Oreochromis niloticus: one gene and its partner. The protein of the gene in region 1 binds, or shares a complex with, the protein of each later gene. Links are inferred from orthologs where the notes say so. Each region holds a gene or a part of one and is shown on either strand. Other genes may lie near its edges.

Region 1 (9,395 bases):
CATATCACACTAAATGGATTACAGAATGTGAGCACCCATGTACAAATGCCTCTATCTACTAAGCCAAACTTATTTACTTCAGTAAAATTATTAATAATCCAGTAAGATAATACACGCAAAGACTTGCTGAAGTAGTATATATACTAGTATATATACTACTTCAGCAAGTTGTCTTTTGTAACCGTTGTGTAAAAACCTGTACAAGTCTCTACTGTGTTTAGAAAAGTTTAACATTGACGTGGACACTACATGTCCCCTTAAAATTTCCACTTTAGCAAATGTCACTTGCCAAGCGGTCCTTACCTTAGGGAATAATCTTTTTTTCCTTTTCTTTCCTCTCCTCTCTTTTTCTCCTCTGTAATCCACAGCAAAGTGTATGTAAATCCTGCAAGCACTTTTCAAAATGTTTCATTCTATTAATGTTGCGATGACAACATTCATTTGAACAAAAACCATTCTAAAGGCGTCTGACACATTTGCTAAGCTCCACCCCCGGTTGATGTTGAGAAGAAATAATCAACCTGGTTTCTAGATTTCAAAATGTCATGTTTTTGTCATCTAAAGCTAAAGCCTACTATTGTCACAAGGGGGCGCTCTGATGCAGTTTTTCGTTACGATGTCCTTATGTCTTGTGCGCGGAAGCATTGTTTTTTTTTCACTTTTAAAAACTTTATTTAGAGCAAAGACAATGACAATCTCAAACAAACAGTGAATCATTGAATCTTTCACAACATATCACACCTTTTTTTTCTTAATCAGAGGATTATTGCAGCATTGTAGTTGGTATGTCACAGTCAAACTAACAATAATTGTAACTAAGTATATAAAAAAAGTAAAAATAACTAAATAAGTAAATAAATTAGAAAAAGATTAAAGAACAAAAATAAAGGAGATAAGGGGGGCATGAAAATCATTAAAAGTGAGGTCTTATAAATAAGACATATAGCTTAAATAAGGGGCAAAGGGAGAAACATTCTTCTAAAAAATTTATGCAATTTAATTGCCTGCGGCTTATTTATTAGATTCAGAGATTTACGCAACAGGGAAAATTCATTTTTAAGAACAAGCCATGAAGGGGGGGGATTTGGCACATCAGCATTTATGAATGTAATATTTTGTTGTTATAATGAGATTGTTTACTAAGAACTCAGTATTTTTGTCCTTGACGATTACTCCTATTTGAATATTCTGAAAAGACCAAAAACCAACATTTGTAGACCAGGATGATATTAAGTCATGGAGAGATTTCCACAAATTTTGGAAAGTCACCCATAAAACATGTGCTGTGTTGTTTCCAAAGTTGTTTTACAAATATAACAATTGTCTGACACAAATTTAAATCTTTCTTTCATGAATTCATTAGAGGGGTCGATGGTTTTTGTAGTTTTAAAATGAACTTTTTTAAATTTGGGGGTTTGGGAATTTTAAATATTTAGTTCTGATCAAAGAAATCTCACATTTGTTATAATCTTTTAGAATGAGTGAGCATTTTGTCCTACTTGAATATAAGGTGTTAACCAAATACTTCCTCCAAAACTGATTATTGCATTTTTCATTAACAAGGTCTGGACCATCTAATTTAATTTTACGTAAATTTGGAGTTGGTATATTTTGCGTTGATAAAAACTATCGGGATATTCTGTGAAACGTTTTTGTAGAGCTCAATTGAACCACTCATGCTATGTTTCTCATTAAACCTGTTTAATTCAAGTATATTTCTGTTTTCATCCATTATATGTGTGACAGACCAAATTTGTTTTGTCATTCATTCTTCCACAAACATAGATTTCCCCCGATTCAATATCACCCTATTATTCCACAGTGGAACTTTGTGGGGACTAAAGTTATGTTTGAACATTAATCTCCAGTTTAACAAAACTTGTTGATGAACTTTGGAGAGTTTTATGAGAATTTGATATCCCCGACTTTGTTGAAAATAAGAGATATAATAAGAGGTATCAAGAACCAGATCTCATCATCATTGTTTAGCCAATTAAGCTTTAACATTCCCTTCATTATTTCAAAATCACTTGCTTTTAAACCCCCCTCTTCATAGTCTTTTATAAAGTCCCTGCTTCTGATATAGTGAAGTTTTTTCCCATATGAGATTAAAATTAATCTTATTGATTTCTTTTAATATCCTTGGTGGGATGGCTAGGGAACAAGCTGGACAGATTAATCTGGACAAAGATTCAACCTTGGTTAACATTATCCTGCCGAACAACATTAAATCTCTCTGTAGCCAATTGTTTAAAGTGTTTTTGCATTTGTCAATTGTATTCTGAATATTCTTTTCTTCACTGTCAGCCATGCATTTAGTTATCCAAATTCCAAGATATTTGATTTCATTTTTGACAGGTATATCATACAAGGAGGAGTGAGAACAATTATGGATACTCATGAGTTCGCATTTGTCCAGGTTCAGGCGTAGGCCAGAAGCATCAGAGAAAATCTTTATTGTGTCTAAGCCAAATGGAATTTGTTGGATTTTGGAATTTGGCAATCAGTTTGCATGCTTATTCTTAGTATGGTTAACTAATTGGGATTTCAAATATGCAGTCTACTGATTTAATATAAAATTAAATATTTGGCTGAATTGTTTTATTTCCATACAGCTGAATCCTCCCCAGAAAACCAAAGCAAATGTTTTTTAAAAAATAATTTCACCTGAGTAACTGTGTTATTTAAAAGATTAGCCACAATCAGTGTCAATTTTCAGAGTTTCTTTCAGTTAGTAGCGTGTTTTGGATTCATCAGTTTAATTTTAATAAAGGAGTTTTCAGAGAACTGGTCCAAAATTAGAGGTTAATAGGAGGAAGAAAACATAAAGAAATAAAATAAATTATAGCCTCCACACATTGTCTGACTTTTGTGAGCTGAATTATTGTACGATAATGCAGTTACAGTTTTTGCTTTATGTCCATTTATCCTCCCAGTGTGGTCATGGCTGCTGCCAGCTGTCTGCTGTCTGAAGACCAGTTTCTGTGCTGCATCTGTCTGGAAGTGTTCACAGATCCAGTCAGTACACCATGTGGACACAACTTCTGCAAGAACTGCATCACTCAGTACTGGAACAGCAGTCCTCTGTGTCAGTGTCCAGTCTGTAAAAGGAAGTACTACACAAGACCCGAGCTCCATGTCAATACTTTCATCTCTGAGATGGCTGCTCAGTTCAAGCTGTCAGCTCAGCAGGAAGCCAGCAGCAGCGGAGGAGAAAACAGAGGATGAAATTCAGGAGATGATCCAGAAAAGAAAGATTAAAATTGGGGAAATGAAACACTCTGTGCTGCTCAGTAAGAAAGAGGCAGACAGAGTGACAGCAGAAGGTGTTCAGATCTTCACATCTTTAATAGAGTTTGCAAAGAGCAGCATGAAAGAGCCGATCAAGACAATTGAAGACCAGCAGAGAACAGCAGAGAAACAGGCTGAAGGCCACATGAAGGAGATAAAGCAGGAGATTTCTGAACTTATGCAGAAAAGCTCTGAGGTGGAGCAGCTCACCCACCCTGAAGACATCCTTCACCTCATCCAGAGTTTATCTTCCGTGAAAGCTGCTGTCCCCACCAAAGACTGGACCAACATCAGTTTGGATGGTGGGGAGAATTATAAATCAGGTGGAGAGGAATCTCAGAAGTGAGTTAAGTAGAGTGACTGAGGCTGAGCTGAAGAGGGGGTTACACAGTTAAGTTAAAATTTAACCCTGATTTTGTCCCTGATTCAGTTCAACCCAAAGCTCCCCAGTCTGCGAATGGTAATTGTATATGTGTTTTGTCAAACCAGGGTTTCTCTTCTCAAAGATTTTACTTTGAGGTTAATGTTAAAACCCATCGTACATGGACAGTAGGAGTGGCCAGATATGTGAGCAACCTGAAGAGAGAAAGCACCAAACTGAGCCCTGAAAATGGTTACTGGACTGTTTGCTCGGGGCCATGGTGATCAGTTGATCCATCTGTGAATTTAAGAACTGAGAAAGTGGGAGTGTTAATAGATTATGATGAAGGCCTGATCATTTTTTATGACATTCATGGTGTAGCTCTTATTCACTCATTAATTGGCTGCTCTTTCACCTAGAAACTCTACCTGTTCTCCAGTTCCTACCAAAATAATGGAGTTCAAATCCACACCGGTAAATGTTTGATATCATAGATAAGTGTCCTAAAAGGTGTTCTAAAATAAATCTACATAAATAAGGGGAAAAAAGAGTTTTTGCTATTTGAATTGTTTTATTTTACACCCGTGAACCTCCCAACAACTGCCACAGGTTTGTATTAAGATGAACATTTTTGATGATGACATTTTGTGATTTACACTGTTGAGAACCTATGAAAATGTTTTAATACAATCTAAAATAGAAAACTTTCATTTTGGAGGCAGTTTCACTGACAAAGATACAATTTATACACCGTAAAATATAACCTATAAATATAATACATGTGGGGTAGTTGAGGAGGGAAAGGTTAATCCACTTAGTTAAGACTTGCATGTGTATATCTGGGTTGCTTTTTTAAAATATTATATATTATAAATCTAAGCTTCAATAAAGTGATTTTTTAAGTGTTTTGTGTGTTAATTTAACTCAATCATCTCACATCTTCTACAATGATTTCAGCAGGTGGTTTAAAGAGCTAAATGTCTCCACCTAGTGGAGTTTATCCCACACTGATAAATGTGCCCCTGCCTTTACATCTCTGACACTTTATTTGTCTCATAGAAGCAACTTGTGCAAAAGTTGAAAACCTCTGTTTCTTCTCTGTGACGCCACATTTCTGCTGATGTGTTGATTCAGATATTAAAACAACGATGCAGAAATGCTCATGTTAAACGAATTCACACTTAATTTTCCGATTGTGTGCCTTTAGCATCATCTTTCTGTGATGTTACATTCTTTGTTGGGCTGCTTGTTACAGCTGCAGTGGACATTTTCCCCTAGTTTTTTGTGAGCATGGGGGATTGTGCAAAATTTACAGTTAACATATGGCAATTTGCAGACCAGATTAAAATTCGCAAAGGCTTCGATTTTGTCATTTCCTTTTAGAAATGACTTTTAGATAAGGCATGAACTGAGTGGCTGTAAATCAAACAAAAGTTCTCCCCACTCCTAAATCCTGTCCTGTCTGGCAGCTTTTGCAATCAAAATTAGGATCTGTTGAACCAAATACATTTTGCTTTTCCAGGATGAGCTCTATAAATATAGGCTTCTCTTGTTTCTATTATCTTTATTTATTCATTTCTTCAAAACCTTCACCAATTTAATGTCCGTGACGTAGATTTTCTTATTTGTATGTCTGATTTTATTGTGAAGCACTTTGTGATTTTTATCTGTGAAATGTGCTATATAAATAAATTTTATTTACTTTTACTTTACTAAGACCAACTTACTCACGGTAGCAAACTTTCAATATTCAAACTTATATATATATATATATATATATATATATATATCTGTAAAATTTGTTTTAAAATGATTTTGTTTTAAAAAATAACATTTGTTTACCCTTCGCAAACTTTGACGTGTAATAGATGCGACCCGGAGGAGTTTTCTGTTTGGACCCATACTGCGCTTGCGCAATGATAGGAGTCCTTGGCTGCTCGGCCTGCTGTAGGTTACGGATCCAGTGAGGGTACACCGACAAAATGCAGAGCTGGACACAGTTATACCGCTCCCTGGCCACGGTAAGCATTCATATTATTTTCGCTATAACCAGTATGCGAAACCCGGATGTGTCGTAAACTGTCCTGCGTGCTGCAGATCTAGAGGATAGGGGAAATTTTAGACCTGCGGCCCACACCTGGCTAGCTACTCGGCTAACAGCAGAAGGCGAACCAGACTGTACTGGAAAAAACATGCAATTTGGAGTTGTTGTGGTTATCGATGTCTAAACACGTTGCTTGATTTTCAGTTGATGTGTTACCTATTCATATACCTTTTTCCTTTTAATTCGGCATGAGTTAGACTAACAACCTTCCCCACATTTAAACTAAATCACGACTTTTCTGGTTAAATATTGCTGCAGTATTTTGAAGTAAAACCTGCAATGAAAAGAATCGTGATATTTGTATTCTGCTAATATTAAAAGGGCTTAAATCACACAAAGCTAGAAGAAAAGCATCTAGGTTCTATGACTTGGCAGTTGACATTTCCCACTCTGGTGTCGTGTTAGCTCGCTTAGCTGTTTAGCAGCGGTTGCCTAACTCTTAATTTATGTCGTAAGCTCAGCTGTTGTCTCACAGCTTCAGGGCGAGCATCCCGATTATTCCGAATTGTTTCGGGGCTTTTAGAAGCTTTGCGACTCTATAACACTTAAATAGTAGTTATTTGCTAACTTGGTAGTCTGCTAAAGGGGAAAGTTTCAGAGTTGCTAGTGGACAGGCTGAGGGTGTCCTTGCTGAAAGCTGGCACTGCAACAGCAAACCAGCTGAATGTGGTACAATTCCATGAAAACAAGTGCATGAGTCTAAATATTAAAATTTAAATTTTAGTTTAGTAGTTGAGTTTGCTCCTTCGTGACTCACTAGGCTTCAGTATCTGAGTATGCAGCTTTAAAAGGAAATAGTAGTGACGTAAATAGAAATTTTTAAGCAGCAGATTACTGAAGTGAGAGAAGCCACTGAAGACAGATACTTTTAGTTTGCAAAGTTGGCTTGTGATGCACTATAACATTGTTTTTGTGTTGCATTGCCTAGTTGTATTGTGCATGTGTATTTTCTAACTGTGCATTTTGTTTGCTTCACAGCGGAGCCACCACCTGCCCTGCAAAGTGCACGGAGCTGCAGCGCTGTCTGTTCGGACCTACGCTGACAAAGCAGCAAGTACGATTGTGCTGTAAATCTTATCATAGGACTTTATTTATGGCACAGTGTTTACTGAACTGTAGCCACATGTTTGTGCAGTTTGATCTCTGATGTTTGTATCAAAGCAGTCTCATAATTCAGACTTGCAGAGAGTCTCAGGTGCTGGATTTGGGTGGGGATAGGACTTCATGGACTATGTAAAGAGGGGTGGTAGAGAGCTTGCATTAAAATGTTCATTTACATACACCAGACTTTAATCATGTAGTTTTGCTCTGGTGGCGTAAAGTCATGCTAAAAGCTGCTGTGTTGCCTCTCTGCAGTTGATGCAGACGTCACAGTGGTGGGCTCCGGTCCAGGAGGCTATGTCGCTGCAATCAAAGCTGCACAGCTCGGCTTCAAGGTAACCCACCTGCCCAACAGATATCCTGCTGTCTAAACAGATCCCACAGATGGTCACAAGTGGAAGTTTTTGGTGAATAATGAATCCCCTGTCTCTAAATTTGTTATTCTTTGACAGACAGTGTGTGTCGAGAAAAATCCCACACTCGGCGGGACTTGTCTCAATGTCGGCTGCATCCCCTCGAAGGTAACAAACTGCTTTTAATCTCCACAAATTCACAGGTTTGTTTGTAAGAGGTTTGATCAGTATGATCGTTTTACAGAGGAAGGAGAGATACCAAGGATGTTTTTATCTTGGGTTTGGTTTTTCTTTCAGAACTTGTACACCTTTAGTATAAAAGTAATCCAGTGACGGTTGTCTATCCATAGATATATTATAAAGGGTAAATGCTTCCATGGAACACATTTGAGTAGTACAGACAAAAATTTTGCCAGAAAGAACAGCAGCACATACCGGTAGCATCTTTTTATTGTCTTGATGAATTCAAAAATAAGCCAATACTTCTGGGTTTAGCCAAACAGAGTGGGAAAAACATTTTCAACTTCATAATAACGACTAAATTTCACAGAGAGAGGAAAGCAGAACAATCTTCACCTAAAAAGAACTTTTCAGTTTGGTGATAAGCACTGAACGTAAGATTGATTAAACTATATTGAATCCGTAAAATGACGTAAACGTGTATAAAGTCATTCCTCCAGCTGAATAAGCTGCTGTTTTGTTTCTGCAGGCTCTGCTGAACAACTCCTACTTGTACCACTTGGCTCATGGGAAGGACTTTGAAAGCAGAGGCATCGAAAGTAAGAATCACCATCAGGCTTTAAAGGGAACATTTTGTGTAGCTTACTGATCCTTAAAGGGGGCTTATTCTGCTCATTTCCAGCTACATGTTATAATTTTGAGCTCTAGTAGAGCTTTGCATGATTCAAAGTTCAAAATAATCCTTCTTTATGTCATAGAGGTTTTTGTGCTGCCCCTCAGTTAATCCTGTCAGAAACAAGCTGTGTTAGCTCTCCTCGCTTTAAGCCAACCCTCTTATGATTGGATGCCCCTCATAAAAAAAGGTTTGACCAGCAGTACATGCTCTGTGTGCCTGAAATGACTATAGTAGAGAAATCCATTGTCTTAACCTTTCAAGTAGATTTTTTTTAGCCAAGATTACACTGAAGGTCATTATTTGCAGCATTAGCCATATTTAATATAAGCATATACGTTATTATAACACTTGTGTCTGTATTCCTTAGTATTGGATGCTGATGGCACAGAACATGTGTTTTCGACAATACACTTTAATTGAATGTAACTTGTTTTTCCATCGATTTCTTAGTTTGACATTGTGACCGCATTGACAATAAAGTCTTTGTCTCTCAGTTTCAGGCATCTCGTTGAACCTGGAGAAGATGATGGCTCAGAAGAGCGGGGCTGTCAAAGCGCTGACCGGAGGAATCGCACATTTATTCAAGCAGAACAAAGTCAGTCTTCCCTCTCTGCCTTAGTGCTTGTTTACACAGGTGTTACATCTGAACCACTTTTAACAGTGTCTGTGGTGTGGCATCACTCCTCACAGGTTACCCACGTTAATGGTTTTGGAAGGTTAACTGGGAAGAACCAAGTGACCGCCACAACAGCTGATGGTACCGAGCAGGTCATCAACACCAAGAACATCCTCATCGCCACAGGCTCAGAGGTCACGCCCTTTCCAGGCATCCAGGTATGAGAATTTGTGACCTGTTCATACTTCCATTTCACTAGTTGCAGGTTTTTTGCTTGTCGTATTCACCAAAGGAGGTGGAGGAGGCGAGGAAGGTACATGAAGAGAGGAGTCAGTGCTGCAGATGTCTAACAAAAGGCGTCCTCGTCTCAAGAGCCTCATGTCTCACACATGTCACCCCCTCCTTTCATCCCTCCATAAAAACTCACATGCACTTGGTTTTTAAAGGATAATTCTGGGTTGATTTTTAAAAGAAGTGTGTTCAAATATGTTTCTTTAGATTGATGAAGAGACCATCGTGTCGTCGACAGGAGCTCTTTCTCTGAAGAAAGTACCAGAGGAGCTGATTGTGATCGGAGCTGGAGTCATCGGGGTGGAGCTGGTCAGCATCACTATAGACTGATTCACCCACAAACACATGATTATGTCGACTACATCTGCAACATTTCCTGCCTCAGCTCAGTTTCTTTAGAAAGTCGAGTTGCACTTGTCAGA
Region 2 (8,469 bases), on another chromosome or scaffold:
TCTTCTGAAGACACTGATTTCCAATAAATTCATATTTAATATTTTCCAAACCAGGTCAAATGCTTTATATTCTTAAAGATAATGAAACAGAACAGGTAATCAGAGTCAGGGTGAGGTACACTTTAGACCATCTTCTTGTTCTTTATTGCGATCCTTGATATCTTGTGCTATTCACCCTTTTTCCTCTCATGCTAAACTAAAACAAACCTGACTCTGTATGTGCTGTGTGTTCGGTCTGACCAGGGCTCACCTGGATCTTTCCTAGCGCTCCGATGGCAACCTCGGGTGGGAGGATCACGGGCTTGGCGTAAGTGCCTCCGATCTGGTTCGAACATAGCAAGCAGAGTGAGGTCAATATGGCTTCTCTCAGCACTGTTGTGATATTTTCGTGTCGCTGTTGTTGTCAGACTCACAGATCCGATGTTGGACAGTGTGAAAGTGCCCCCCATCAGGTCGGCAGTCCCCAGCTGACCCGATGCTCCGAGCACCTGGAGGCGGTTCAACTCAAGGGCGATCTCGAACACGCTGAGCAGCTGGACGTTCTTCACATTGGGAACCAGCAGACCCTGACTTGTGTCCATTGCCAGGCCGATGTTGTGGGACGCCTGAATCACAGGAAACACCACCGTCAGCACTAATGACGTCACCGAGCAACCAGGGAAGCGAAGCCGGCTCGGAGCATGCTCTTACCTTGTAGGTGATGTTCTGGCAGCCCTCATCCACCGAGGCGTTGAGGATCGGGAAGTGGTGGAGACTGAGGGAGGCAGCCTGAGCCAATGAGAGAAAAGCATTAACTTCAATATCAAACATGCAATCGATCAGCAGCTCGTGCATGGCGCCTTAACCCCCAACCTTGATGAAGAAGGGCATGTAGCTCAGTCTGACGCCACGACTCTCGGTGAGAGGTTTCAGCTCTGACCTCAGAGCCACCAGGCGACTCAGGTCAACCTCGTCACAGTAACCGAAGTGAGGAATCTTCAGCGCCACAGTCATCGTCTTCACCATCGCTTTCTGGAAACCTGAAGAGCCAATCAGAATGTTTAGAGAGAAAGGAGATGACATGCAAGTCTCGCAGTGAACAGCGCAACACTTAGGCTTGACAGCAATCTCTGACCTTTGAGGGGCTCCGTCACGTCCTTGCCAGTGAAGACAGGTTTAGGAGTAGCGGGTGGAGGTTTCACAGCCACCTTAGTGCTCACAGGCTTGGCAGCAGCAGGAGCAGCAGCAGGGGCCGGGGGCGGAGTCTGGATCTCCTGGAAAGGTGTCGGAGGCAAGATGGCTCCAGTTTGCTTTGCCAGGAAGTTCAGGATGTCCTCCTTCAGGATCCGCCCATCTCTGCCAGTCCCCACCACCTCACTGAGCTTTATCTGAGGACAAAGCGACACCTCAACTGGGAACACAGTGGGACAGACTGGGACAACCCGGTGCGGACAAATAGGAATCACACTTACATTGTTCTCCATGGCGAGGCGTCTGACTGCAGGCGTGGCCTGCGTCTTGTGACCTTTGATCTCCTGGTGGGTGTGTTCTTCTCGAGCCATGGCGGGCGTCTCCACCACGTCCTCCTCCTGGATCACCTCTGAAGGATAACAGCAGTGAGACTTTCAGCCGTGAACTTGGACGGGTGGACGAGTGAAGACCTGCTGATGCCTCACCTGAGCCAGACTCCGTCTCGATATCCACCAGCGGTTTTCCCACAAAGGCCGTGGCATCTGCATCGTAGTAGAGCTTTTTGATGACCCCATCGTAGCGGCTGGTAATGGTGACCGATGCCTTGTCGCTCTGAACCTCACAGATGCTGTCAAACTGAGAAACTTTGTCTCCTTCCTTCACGTACCTGCCAGAGGAATCCAGATTTATTTATGCAGTGGCAAATCACAAGAACAGAATACGCACAAGGACATATCCTAGTCAAAAATGACTCCAAGGTTCCTCAAAGTGTTATTGGAGGCCATATTTCTAAGATTTTCTGTCCCAAGTACAATAACCTCAGTTTTATCTGAATTTAGAAAATTAGAGGTCATCCAGGGCTTTAGGACTTCCTGACATTCCTGCAGTTTAACTAATTGGTGTGTGTTATCTGGCCTGATGGATAGATAAACTTGGGTGTCCTCTGCATAGCAGTGAAAATGGATGCTATGCCTTCTGATGATACTACCTAAGGGAAGCATGTATAATGTAAACAGAACTGGTCCTAGCACTGAACCCTGTTGAACTCCATATTTAACTTTAGTGTGTGAAGAGGACTCTCCATTTACATGAACAAACTGGAGTGTAACGAGTTAACAGGCCATCCTTCATTACAGGTTACAGGTGTTACATCCTAATCGTTTCATATGTTCACCTGTTTGTTCTTTTACAAACTCTGGGGTTTCAGGTTTGCTTCATTTTAAAAACAAAATAATACCAAAATTTTGTCATGACAATAAAAAACGGAGCTGTTGGACTCTTTTTTTTCTTTTTTTTTGTCTTGGTCACGTACCACTCCTTGACGGTCACCTCCATGATTCCCTCACCGATGTCAGACAGTTTGAACTGCACGATAGGTCCTTGATTCACTGCCGGACAAAACAAAACAGTGACACGATCACAGAGAAACAGAACAATCTGCTGATGGAGGTCAGCGTACACCACCATGAGTGATCTGCCTCAATTCTCCCAGAGTCCATCAAACAGCTGAAAACCCAGAACAGTTCACCATGATACAGATCTCCATGGCAATAGCAGAGAGATCAGAGGAGGCCAGGATTCAGGTGCTGCCGGTCTGGACTTACCCACAGCGACATGCAGCCCTCTGCAGCTGAACACCTGGAGCTTCCTGTCACACCTGAAGGTCATTGGCTGCAGAGTCCTGTCACATCTGAAGCTCTGCAGCCGGAAACATCTGCGGCTCTGCTGACTCAGCTGACGGGAAAAGAGCAGATAACAGAGGTCACCTGGACCAGCCAACACACAGGTGCTTCTAAGCCACGCCCCCTGATATTCAGGGCCTGATGGTTCTTCCTTCAGGTCCTGAATGTCAGACCAGGACCAGCACTCCGAAACTCAAACATGAAGACTAGCTCACAACTCCTTCAGCTTCTAATAAAGATGCATACGGACATTCTTTAAACAAGGTGGTGATGTAACCCTAACAGAGAAGAAATGCCAGCCAATAAAAACATCACACACGCCTCTGACACTGTGGCACCAGATCTATGTTTCCTCATCTGCATGTAAACGAGGAAACCGAGTGCATTTACACTGATTTATGCCAAGTCACTGAAGATTACGCTAAGCCTGACTTTGACACTTTCAGGAAGTGGGGGATGATGGGAAATGGCCTTCAGGTTGTCACTCGCTGACAGAAACTCTGCTCAGGTGTTTTTCTTATTGCAGGTTTCCTCTGAATATCTCGAAGCTGTCTCACTCCCATGTCACTTCTCACTAAATAAAACAGAAAGTTCGCTTTAAAATTTATACACATCATTGGAGGACCACCTGTCAATCACGTCGTTTCCGTCGTTTGAAACCACATCTGCTCCTGAGGTCTGGAACAAACACCTGTCCTGGCGGCAGCAGGTGAAGCAAGTTTCACCTGCAGGACAAGCTCTGAATATTACTGAGCTCAGATCTGGGTCAGAACCAGAACCCGCACACTGCCGGTTCTGGTTCTGACTCAGACCCTGACCCGGAAACAGCTGCTGACCATCAGGAAGCACTCGCAGCTGTTAGCTGTTAGCCAAAGCATGCTAACTCAGAGGCTGTTTCATTCCATTAGGGTTAGCATCAGCTAGCCCATTGGCTAGCTATGCTAACGCACTGAGCTTGGTGACGTTGCGGAGACTCTCCGTTAGCATTAGCCGCAGGTTAGCATTAAGCGCTTTCAGAGCCTGTGACGAGAACACGAAGCCTGTATTTGCTCACCAGTAGCCGCCTGAACGCGCCGAGAGAGCCTCTGGTCACCGCCGCCATCTCTACGCTCCGCTGCACGCCCCTCTCTGCAGCCAATCAGCGCGCAGCGCCGGCCTCTCTTCTTCTGCTGCTTCCCGCAGGGCTCGCAGACGTCACACAGGTGTGATGGCGCCACGATCAGGAGAGCTAATGAACAACAAACTGATTCATTAAACTTTTCCTGGTTTTTACAGCCTTAGACGTTCCACGGTTTTTATCCATTATTAATAATAAAAATGATTTGTTGTTTATTTAAAGACAGGTCAGCATCATGACATCAGCAAGCTGCCGTTTGTGCACCTGTCCAGATAAGGTAAGATAAGATAAGACTTTATTGATCCCATGGCGGGGAAATTTGTGCGTTACCACAGCTCAGGTACAGATAGTAGAAGAATACAAAGAGTATACCAGAATATAAAGTCAACAAATACAAAATAAATAAGATAATACAATATATACAATGGTAGCTGAGGTTCTATGTACACACATACCCAGAATATGTTATTGATACAAGTTGTGGAAATATGCAAGAAATACATTAAAAACTATTCTACTACTACTACTATTACTATGTGAGTAAAAGATATCTATAAGTATCTATAAGTATAGACATGTACATACACACACACGTACAAATACACATACACCATAATCACTAATGCAGAGTGTCATCACATTAATCAGATTTCATCTCTACAGGGTCATCAGTTTCTACAGTTAGAACCATAAGAATGTGCAGTTGAGCAGTTAGCTGCACACAAGTCCTTACAGCTACAAACAGGGGACTGTAGAATCAAACCTGAAGGGCTCAGCCCTCAGTCATAGTGTCATGCATACGCTGCCCTGCAATTAACATTACTGGAATATGCTGCTTACAAAAATATTCACCTCTTTTTTCAGCTCAATTACATTTTCATGGAGGTTAGAAAAAGGAGGAAGTTTTTGAATGCACCTCACTCTCCTTAAAAAATAAAGGTGGCTTGTGGCTGAGCAGTAGCATCATGGTTTTGTGTTGCTGTTGCATTTTCATTTCTTTGTACAGCGCTTTGTGCCTTTATGTCTATAAACTTGAATTACGACACCTGTGTGTGGGTTTTCCTGTTAGTGGTGCAGTAATGCCAGCTGTTTGTGACGTTCGGGGCTGGATTACTGTGAACAACCTCTGTGTGCAGAGCCTCCTTGCTGAAGGCCTCAGTCTCGCTGTGTGCTGTTATTTTGGTCATATGGTGCATTTGATTTGACAAATATTTTACACTACACGCTCTTCCTGAGGCAACCCTCCCCGTTCTTCTGCTCCAACAGCAGCAGCTTCTGAGAACTCCTCAGTTTATACGTGCAGTCAACAATTAATTTATTATCAATGTGTGGCAGAGGTGTGGTCCTTGGCTCAGCTGCAGGGGATGGGTGATGCAGGGAGGTTGGAGGGACAGGTGGACATGATTAAACTAATGGGGTTCCTCCCTTCGTATAGTGAGGGTGGAGACCGAAGTGGGACAGTATGCAGACAGCTGACGATTGTGTGTGTGCCGAACCAGGACGCTGTACATGAGTGCAAAATCAATTAAAAAACCCAGTGTGTCGGGTCATGGTCCTTTACACAACGTAAAGTGAATAACAGAGTCAAATGTCACCATGTATTGTCAAGTCATTTTTATTCTGCCTCGTCACAGACGTTATTAATATTAAAATACAAGCATTCATGTTTGAAATTTGCGGAGAAGCAGCAGGCCGGTCTGAGTCCATCTCAGCAGACAATGACATCATCACAGAGCGTGCTCGTGTCCAGCTCGTCAGCACTGCTCGAATCCCGCCATCAGAGAGAGCGCCAGAGACTCCACTGCACAACAAGAGAGACAGACGTCATCAGCTCCTCTCTGCTCACAGCATACAACAAGACGAGGTTAACTGGACAGCTACGGTGGCCAAGAGGTCCCAAACACATATTTCATTTACTGGAAAGGTTTTTCAATCATTCAGTCCTGTGTGCTGACAGGATGACCAGCACAAACATCCTATTTCTCATTTATTACTTTCATTTCCTGTTAAATTGACCTAGAAGGATCAGACTGCAGGAGACTTGTGGTTCCTGAGTCTGAGATGATGCAGGTGTCAACAACCGAAGGTCGGCTTTTATTGGCCCTTGGAAAACTTCGACCACACACGCCTGAGCCCTCGTAACGACATTTTCAGCCTGAAAATGTCGTGCGGATATCTCGTGCACTTATGAAGTCGATCCCCTCTAAACTGCGGACACACTCTGTTTGGAGGAAACACCGAGCACTGCAGCTGGATCCCGACAGCCTCGAAGCACCAACCGATTTTACATTTAAGCTTTTCCAAGTTGGATGTTCTGCACCTTTGGACCACCGTACACAATCACTGCGTTTGACATCATCACCCAGACGACAGACTCACAGTGAGGGAAGGAGCCCCGGCACACCGCCTTATTGAGGATCGTCACAAGGAACATGTGGCAGTTTTTGAAATCAGACTCCATTTTATCGATGGACTCTATCCTGAAAGAGAAACAACATTTAGCTGCAGAGCAGGTGTGTCGTCTCTGTACCTGGATGCGTGTACACACACACACACACACACACACACACACACACACACACACACACACACACACGCAGCGTGCACCACGAATGTCACATCAACACCACTGAATAGACACATCACTCTTACTTCCAGGCTCCAGCCTGCCATCTGTCCGAGAAGATGAGGACGAGATTCAGAACCTTTATTATCGCCTCCTTCACAAAACTGACCTGAGAAAACACAACATGTAGAAACAGGTGAGTCTGAGCAGGGAGCCAAAGTGAGATTCGGCCTACTGAAGGTTCTGGCCCCGCCCACAGTACAGTGTTTTACAAGTTTTTCTGGAAACATAAAGAATCACTGTCTTATAAGATCCAATTTATTTACTTGCCCGCCATCACACAGTACAGTAAGGTCAGTGTACAAGCAGCGGTGCTGATGGTGCAGCAACATTTCTTTGTGCTAAAGCAGGAAAACTGAGAAACGCCTCAGGCTGGTCATTGCGTTCGTAAAAGAACGAACGCTTTTTCATCATCTCAAACAAACAGCAACCGTCTTTACAGCTGATTGTGTCAGCGGTCAGACCGCCATCATAAATGTTCACCTTCTCCCTTAGCAGGCAACGGTCGTGAATCGTGGCCAGGTATCTGTAATGGATCTTGATGAGCTGGTCCAAGTCCTTGGCTTCCTGCACTTGGTGTTGAAACTCGAGTCCAGTGCTGTGCAGAATCTGCCAAGACACAAAGCAGATGAAGAGCCAGAGTTAGTCAAACTGAGAGTGCAGTGAGGACTCTTTTTATTAAAGGGGGTCGTTTAAAGAAGTGATTTTATTATGTAACCCTAGAAGTAAATATGACAGGAAGAGTTATCAGGCTGCCCGCTCACTGTCACGTGATCAGCGCTCGCTGTGCCAAGCTGCTGATCTTCCCTACCGAGCAGCGTCCTGATGGTGTTCATTATAAAAACGTTTGCTGGCACTACTATGTCGACAGCAGCGCTCGAGGGGTAAATGTGAGTGATGTCCTCCCTTATTTATGCTGCAATAGGTGTATGCTACTGGGGGATTCCAATGATGCACTGGGTGCTTCTTCTTCACTCACTATCTATTAATAGACCTCGCTGAACTGAATCATACTTGTTATTAATCTCTGGCTCTCTTCCACAACGTGTTTTATCCTGTCTTCCTTCTCTCACTCAACCGGTAGTGGCAGATGGCCGCCCCTCCCCGAGCCTGGCTCACCTGGAGGTTTCTTCCTGTTAAAAGGGAATTTTTCCTTCCCACTGTCACCAAAGCACTTGGTCATAGGGGGTCATATGATTGTTGGGTTTTTCTCTGTATATTTGATTGTAGGGTCTACCTTACAATATAAAGCGCCTTGTGGTGACTGCTGTTGTGATTTGGTGCTGTGCAAATAAAAATGAAGTGAATTGAATGTCATGGATGCGACATCCTGTTTGCAGGAGGTCAGTTTGGTGGTTTGCCTCACCCTCGTCATGATGTAGTTGTGAAGGCTGTTGACAAAGTGCATCAGTTTGACCCTGAGCAGACACATCCTGTGGATCTGCTGGTTCACGCGCTCTTTGACCTTGACCTCCTCGGCTGCGGCGCCCTCCAGCTTCTTAGTGACGTCTGTAAAACCTACGAGTAACAACCATTTATCAGAGAAATGACTAAGACGGGCTTATTTTCAGTTTACAGCTTCAGGTGGAGCTTGTACCGCTGAATCGAAGCGTGTCCAGACTGTACTTGGCCCATTTGATCTGCAGCAGGAGGAGGAACACTTGGTTGTAGATCTTCTGACACTCAGAGCTGATCACAATGTCCACGGGCCAGGGAACCTGTGCAGACACGCACCAGGAAACGTCAGGTGGCGGATTCAACAACGCACCGACAGACACCAAAGCACAAACTGCAGTGTTCACCTTGTAGCTCAGCGTGAGGACTTCCAGGTTATTCACAGGCTGTTTTTTCCTGGAAGCGTCGATGGGTTCCAG

The links.
Region 2: the proteins of dld (region 1) and dbt are in contact, whole or in part, in a crystal structure (PDB 3RNM), measured with the Homo sapiens proteins. The link is inferred for Oreochromis niloticus from reciprocal best matches to the Homo sapiens genes DLD and DBT. Residues at the interface, in NP_000099.2 of Homo sapiens: Ser446, Thr447, Asp448, Arg449, Glu472, Tyr473, Gly474, Ser476, Glu478, Asp479, Arg482; in NP_001909.4 of Homo sapiens: Thr174, Pro175, Ala176, Lys196, Arg199, Leu201, Lys202, Glu203, Leu206.

The regions. Positions count from the first base shown.
Region 1 is NC_031972.2:3,411,831-3,421,225, forward strand, and holds the start of dld (dihydrolipoyl dehydrogenase, mitochondrial), read left to right. Parts: upstream 1-5,517; 5' UTR 5,518-5,634; coding exon 5,635-5,673; intron 5,674-6,734; coding exon 6,735-6,810; intron 6,811-7,112; coding exon 7,113-7,192; intron 7,193-7,309; coding exon 7,310-7,378; intron 7,379-7,919; coding exon 7,920-7,989; intron 7,990-8,560; coding exon 8,561-8,661; intron 8,662-8,756; coding exon 8,757-8,900; intron 8,901-9,180; coding exon 9,181-9,282; intron 9,283-9,395. UniProt on the Homo sapiens protein: Lipoamide dehydrogenase is a component of the glycine cleavage system as well as an E3 component of three alpha-ketoacid dehydrogenase complexes (pyruvate-, alpha-ketoglutarate-, and branched-chain amino acid-dehydrogenase complex).
Region 2 is NC_031986.2:35,936,521-35,944,989, reverse strand, and holds the start of dbt (lipoamide acyltransferase component of branched-chain alpha-keto acid dehydrogenase complex, mitochondrial), read right to left. Parts: upstream 4,046-8,469; 5' UTR 3,955-4,045; coding exon 3,907-3,954; intron 2,905-3,906; coding exon 2,775-2,904; intron 2,559-2,774; coding exon 2,483-2,558; intron 1,838-2,482; coding exon 1,656-1,837; intron 1,580-1,655; coding exon 1,452-1,579; intron 1,368-1,451; coding exon 1,115-1,367; intron 1,020-1,114; coding exon 853-1,019; intron 769-852; coding exon 691-768; intron 606-690; coding exon 414-605; intron 323-413; coding exon 251-322; intron 1-250. Other genes in the region: tubgcp5 (gamma-tubulin complex component 5), read right to left, coding at 5,724-5,770, 6,349-6,449, 6,622-6,704, 7,079-7,204, 7,962-8,113, 8,193-8,313, 8,398-8,469. UniProt on the Homo sapiens protein: The branched-chain alpha-keto dehydrogenase complex catalyzes the overall conversion of alpha-keto acids to acyl-CoA and CO(2).